Linked DNA regions of Mus musculus. The protein of the gene in region 1 purifies or fractionates together with the protein of each later gene. This does not show direct contact. Links are inferred from orthologs where the notes say so. Each region holds a gene or a part of one and is shown in the gene's direction. Other genes may lie near its edges.

Region 1 (3,656 bases):
CTGTGTTCAGTATCCTGTTAGGGACAGCATGGTACATATCTGATGCCTGTGTTCAGTATCCTGTTAGGGACAGCATGGTGCATATCTGATGCCTGCATTCTCCTTCATGTCCTGCTGGATTCCTGGGTTCCTTCTCCATCCTTGCTGCTGAATGCTTAGGCTCCTCCTTCATCCTGCTCTGTTTCAGGTCCCTTTTCTTTTCACTGAAGTCTTCAGTCTGCCTTTGGGATAGTATCCTAACTGCATACCTTTTGCTGTGCTCTGATTAGGGGTTGTTGTAAATTCTGCTCATTATACTTCTCTGCCAAATGTTTTACCAACTAAAAATAAATGCTGACCCAGAATGACATTAAATATATTAAATGCAGGACTGTATATGACGTGGTAGACACAAATGCATGCTAATTCAGAATAATATTAAAGTCTATGGGACCTGTTCAGTGATGAATAAGAACTGTTTTAAAGATGGGACTTCATAAATTTTAGTTTTCGCTATTTAAAAAACTTTCCTAGAAAGTTTTATGTGGAGTTCAATAATTTTCCACTGGGGGCTGGCAAGATGGCTCAGTGGGTAGGAGCACTGACTGCTCTTCCAAAGGACCTGAGTTCAAATCCCAGCAACCACATGGTGGCTCACAACCATCTGTAATGAGATCTGATGCCCTCTTCTGTTGTATCTGAAGTCAGCTACAGTGTACTCATGTATAATAATAAATAAATCTTAAAAAAAAAATACCACAAGAAATTACTGTTTAAAAGCCATTGCTTGGTTTGCTTATGGCTTTGTTGTAGGGATGGAATAAATGTTAATTTTTTGTTCCTCACAGTCTCTCAAGAGTTAATGAAAAAGACGGAAACAACAATTTCATTATAAACATGTTTAAAACTGTTTTCTTCCTCCTTCAGACTGCAGCACTCAGAGCGGTTGGGAACATAGTGACTGGCACTGATGAGCAGACCCAGGTGGTTCTCAACTGTGATGTCCTGTCCCACTTCCCAAACCTCTTGTCACACCCAAAAGAGAAAATAAATAAGGTAAAGGCATGCACTGTTGCTTCTCCTCTCTATGACGGTTTCCTCGTTGCTATTAGGATGTTTATTCAGTCATGACACTCCAGGGGAGAGATCTTTGTCACGGTTTTACTGTTTCATCACTGTCTGCTTCCTTTAGTCCCACTCTCAGCACAGAATAAAAATAGTGAATATTTGGACTTTTTATGTTTAAATAGGTTGAGCAAAATTGGTAATTATTAAGTTATTAACCAGTATACAAAAAATACATACAAAACCTCCCACAAAAATAACTGGTATTTTTAAAAAATAAACATGTAATTTAATCTTCTACAACATAGAAAAGACCTTAGGGTATCATGTCTTCTTTCAAAGATCATAAAATGTATTCCTTTAAAGTTTTAAATACACACACACACACACAAATGTATTTGTAATTGGACAGCAGACACTTAAGTAGTTTTATGTCTTGTTTTAAAGTTCATTTATTTAATAGAATGTTAGAGCTGTGTGTGTGTGTTTATGTGTGTGAGGGGGAAGGACCAAGGTCAGCATCAGTTATCTTCCTCAGTTACTCCCTACATTGTATTTTTAAAAATGACTTTTATTATTTTTAATTCTGTGTATGGGTGGGTGGGCATGTGCATATAAATGCAGGTGCCAGTAGAGGTCAGAAACAGCCCCTCCCTCCCTGAGCTGGTGGAGGTCCAGGAGGTGACTGAGCTGCCCAGGTGTTCCTAGGAGCTGGGCTCTGGTTTTGGAGAACAGATCATGCTCTCACCTTGTGTTTTGAAGCAATGTCTTTCACTGGACCTGAGCACTACAGATCTTTTGTGTCTGTGCCTCACCAGTGCTTGGGTTACAGATATGTGTCAGTGAGCCGAGGTTCTAGATGGGTGCTAGAGATCTCGTCGGGGCTCATGCTCGTATGGCAGGCACTTCACCACCTCAGCCTCCTCCCAAGCAAGCCTTGACCTGATTTGCTTTTATGGCCGAATAAGTCACTCTGTTGGATGTTATACCACATTTTTCTCATTTACCTGTTGAATGACACTGGGGTTGTTGCCACTGCTTGGCTATTGTGAATAAAGTTGCAGAAAACACTGACACATCAGTAACTTTCAAGTCTTTGATTTAGTTTACTCTCTGATGTTGCTAGAAGTTGCTGCAGTCATGGTAACTGTGTGGTAGTTTTTTGAGGACCCTTTAAACTATTTTCCCTTATGGCTGTACTTTACAGTGTATTAGGGTTTCGTTTTCTCTCAAGCTGTGTGGCTATAGTTGTTGGTCACCATGTGTCTCGCATAGGTGCTGAGTACCTGAACGCAGGTCCTCATGTTCTTGTAGAAGGCACCTTATCCACCGAACCTTCTCCCCTGACCTAATGCTTTAAAATAAATATCTTGTAGTGGAAGTAGTTTTGACAAGAATTTGGAAATTCCAATCTTTGGGCATGCCTTTCAAAATAAACTAATACAACTCTGTGGAGAAAGGTTTGAGGCTGCTTTATTTGCTGTTGTATCTACTTAGAATTATGCTTAGCTTAAAGTAGGCTTACAGATCATTACATAAACACTGGGTTTAGTGGACATACGAGTATCACGACTGGAAGCTTCCTTCCTCTTTACTTAAATGGGAAGTCTGAATTGGCTAAATAGCAGGTACAATGCTTGCCTTGTAAACCTGACAACCTGAGTTAGATCTCTAGAGCCACATGATGGAAGGAGAGAACCAAATCTCAAAAGTTAGAATTTGTCTGACCTGCACATATGCACTGTGGCACAGATGTGTACAACCTTTGCTTATATACCAAAACTAGAATCGCATACAGCGATAGTAAGTAAAATTAAAAGGGCAGTCTTGCACAACCGATCACTTTTTAGATTTGGTCACTTTAACACTACTCAGGAGATTTTGTTATCAAATATTTAAAATATTAAAGAGAAAAATAAAAACATTAAAAGTAGCTTTTTCAATAAAAGTGGTCCATATTTTGTTCACTACAGGAAGCAGTATGGTTCCTTTCCAATATAACAGCAGGCAATCAGCAGCAAGTTCAAGCTGTAATAGATGCTGGGTTAATCCCTATGATTATTCATCAGCTCGCTAAGGTCAGTTATATTATAAATTCATTATTTATCTTAATTTTTTACAACCCACATGTTTTTGATAAAGAGCTTACTTTGCGAAATTGTTTTTACATTTTAGGGGGACTTTGGAACACAAAAGGAAGCTGCTTGGGCAATTAGCAACTTAACGATAAGTGGCAGAAAAGATCAAGTGAGTATGAGAAAATTTAACTTGTCACTTTACTAATTTCAGCAAGGGCCCTTCTTATTTTTGTAAGTTACTAGATGTTTTCGTCTGGGTACTGCAGTTGTTAGAGGAAAAAGAATTAACAAATATTACAGATATTTCTTCTCTTGTATTGTCTAGGTTGAATACCTTGTACAGCAGAACGTAATACCACCATTCTGTAACTTACTGTCAGTAAAAGATTCTCAAGTGGTGCAGGTGGTTCTAGATGGTCTTAAAAACATCCTGATAATGGCTGGTGATGAAGCAAGCACAATAGCTGAGATCATAGAAGAGTGTGGAGGTAAGGAGTGCCCCTGGAATCCAAAAACACTAGTCCTCTGAGTTCA
Region 2 (2,751 bases), on another chromosome or scaffold:
ACACTGTATAATCAAAAAAAAAAAATCTTTAAAACATGAGGTGGTGTTGCAGACCTTTAATTCGAGCACTCTGAAGGCAGATAGGTAGATCTCTGAGTTTGAGTTTCACCACTTGCCTTGAAAAGCCAAAAAACAAACAAAAACAAAAAACCCCACAAACCAAAAAACAAAGCCTCCTCACGTTGAATACCTTGCTTAAAAGGACTCATTCTGTCTTTAGGTAGCCCTCTGATGTAGACCTCCCTTAGTTATTTTGAATTCTGTCTCTCCTCTTGGACCTCAGAACTCTATCTGCTAACCTTCCTAATCCACTGCTTTGGGGCTGGAGCTAAATCACATCTCCCATGATTCTTTCCGACAGAGGCTTAAGATGAAGCAAAAAGAACTGGAAGCCAAGGTGTTGGCCCAGGAGGCACCGGATCCAAGGGAAAAAGAGAACACTCCCACAATTCTCCAGCCGCCTGCCTCTTATAGTGGCACAGTGGCAAAGCCCCTGAAAAAGGCTGTAGTGATGCCCCTGCAACGGAGTAAGTTTAGTTCCAGGTTCCAGGAAGAAGCAGCTATTTCAGAAAGGAAGAGACGGAAAGATGCTGTTATCATGTCACTCATCCTCCCACTGGGTCTGAAGAAGCCCTAGATGCTTGTCCTCTAGTATTGTAGACAGTGGGGTACTGACTGGCTATGGTGCCACTCAGGAGGGTGAGGCAGGAGGGTTACTATGAGTTCTAGGTTAGCCTTATAGAATGAGACCCTGCCTCAAAAAAAAAAAGTCATGTTGAAAGGAAGGAGCTAGGGAAATAGAAATGGGAGAAGCAAATGGTTACTAGGAGGGGAGGGAGGGCAGGAGGTGGCCTGTGTCTTTGACCAGTTCCAAATTCCTTTCAGTTCAGAAGCAGCGAGAGTCCTCAAACCAAATCCAGCTCCTGAAGAAAGGCCCCAAAAGGAAGGTGAGTCCCACCCCATTTTCCAGCTGGGAGCCTTTTGCATAATGCCTTAAAGATGCCTTATAGAGCTTTTTTGAGGGGGTGTGGTGGGGGAGTGAGGTATGGATGTGTCTCATAGAAAATATCTACCACTGTTTCTTTTCTTCTTGATGCCCCTGATGCCCCTTGTGTTTGGATTGGCTGCTGACTGGATCTAATGTGGCCCCTGCCCTCTAAGAACTGTAGAGCCTATTTAGGAAATGGACAAGTATTTAAGAATCTCTCACATAAAATGAAAAATATAATTTTCTCCACACAAAACATTAGTAGAACTGTCCCCATTGTAATGGCATGATGCAGTTTCCCCCGCATGGGTTTTTTGTTTGGTTTCCCTTTTCCCCCCTGTACTGGAAATTGAACCCCAGCCCTCAAGCATGGAAGGCAAGCGCTCTACCACTGAATTACACTTCTTCCTAATCAGGATTGATGTGTGCGCTCAGTCACTCACTGACTCTTCACAGCAACTGAGAAAGGAGCTAGCAATTAAAGAAGCACAACAAAATTAGTGACCAGAGGGGAGAGGCCGCAGAGAGATGGACTGTGCCTCGTCATGGCAGTCACCCACTGCCTTTACTGGCATTTCTGTTACCTCATAGCTGGAGCCATCCCCTGAGTCAGAAGCTGTGGAAAAGGATGAGGACTACTGGGAGGTACAGATTAGCCCAGAGTTACTGGCACATGGGCGCAAAAAATTATTGGATCTGCTGAATGAAGGCTCAGCTCGGGAACTGCGCAGCCTGCAGCGCATTGGCCAGAAGAAAGCCCAGCTCATCGTGGGCTGGAGGGAGCTCCACGGCCCCTTCAGTGAGGTAACAACCCTGGGGACAGGTGCAGTGGGGGGGTCCCCGTGCTGTGTCCACTCCCTTCCTAGTGTTGCTGTCCCACTAGGTGGAGGACTTGGAACAGGTGGAAGGCATCTCTGGGAAGCAGGTGGAGTCTTTCCTGAAGGTAAGGCCACCTTTGCCCTTTCTGCATGGTGTTCCCCCACCGCAGCCCACCTTAGGCTGCTATGCTAACGCACGTTCCTCTTCTTTACAGGCGAATCTCTTGAGCTTGGCCGCCAGCCAGCACAGCGGTCCCTCTTGACACTACCTTCTTTTAAAAATCCTTGTATAGTGACGTGTTGTGTAAATACAGTTTTTATTCCATGGTTGAGCCTGGTTTTTGAGGATGACAGGGCTGGGGTCAGAGTCCATAACTACCCTGGGGGTCAGGATCAAGCTCTGCAGGACACCCATGTAGGCGCCATCTTTGGGAAACCCCCAAACTAGGCCAAGATTGTAAATAAACCACTGGAATGGGGAGGGGACGGTGGCCTAGAAGAATCAAAAAGCTGACGCGAAAGCTTAAGCACAGCGACCGACCGTTAAGCGGGCACGCGCTCCAAGCTAGCCCCGCCCCGCTGTAACTCCCTCGGCGCGCTCCCCACTCTCCCGCTCAGCAACGACGTCCCTGTTATGTGCGCGTGCGCGCGAAATAACGGCCGCTGGCGGAGGGAAGTGGGGGGTGGAATCGTTCAAGTGGGGGAAGAGAAGCCGCCTAGTCTCCCGCGCGCCCACCACCTGCACCATCGCCAGCCAATCAGCAACCGTCTTGGGGGTCTCGCGCTCGGGGCGACCGGGGCTGCTGGGTGGCTCCCCAGTCCCTCCGCCCTCTAGAGTCCCTCCTGTCCCTCCCCCTCCCGCTGGCCCCGCGCGCACTCGCGCTCGCGCCCGCTCCAGCCTCTTGTGTGTCCTCGCGCCCCCCGCCCGCCCTCCGGCGCGCAGTG

What was found. The genes of interacting proteins can lie anywhere in the genome.
Region 2: the proteins of Kpna3 (region 1) and Kif22 purify together in Homo sapiens (affinity purification with mass spectrometry; 3 studies listed by BioGRID and IntAct, counting the BioPlex papers as one, with this or other methods). This does not show direct contact. The link is inferred for Mus musculus from reciprocal best matches to the Homo sapiens genes KPNA3 and KIF22.

What each region holds. Positions count from the first base shown.
Region 1 is NC_000080.6:61,370,337-61,373,992, reverse strand, and holds part of Kpna3 (importin subunit alpha-4), read left to right. Parts: intron 1-906; coding exon 907-1,035; intron 1,036-3,017; coding exon 3,018-3,122; intron 3,123-3,219; coding exon 3,220-3,291; intron 3,292-3,447; coding exon 3,448-3,610; intron 3,611-3,656. UniProt on the Homo sapiens protein: Functions in nuclear protein import as an adapter protein for nuclear receptor KPNB1. Binds specifically and directly to substrates containing either a simple or bipartite NLS motif.
Region 2 is NC_000073.6:127,027,111-127,029,861, reverse strand, and holds the end of Kif22 (kinesin-like protein KIF22), read left to right. Parts: intron 1-361; coding exon 362-527; intron 528-885; coding exon 886-947; intron 948-1,579; coding exon 1,580-1,792; intron 1,793-1,871; coding exon 1,872-1,931; coding exon of another isoform or gene 1,932-2,021; coding exon 2,022-2,069; 3' UTR 2,070-2,131; downstream 2,132-2,751. UniProt on the Homo sapiens protein: Kinesin family member that is involved in spindle formation and the movements of chromosomes during mitosis and meiosis. Binds to microtubules and to DNA. Plays a role in congression of laterally attached chromosomes in NDC80-depleted cells.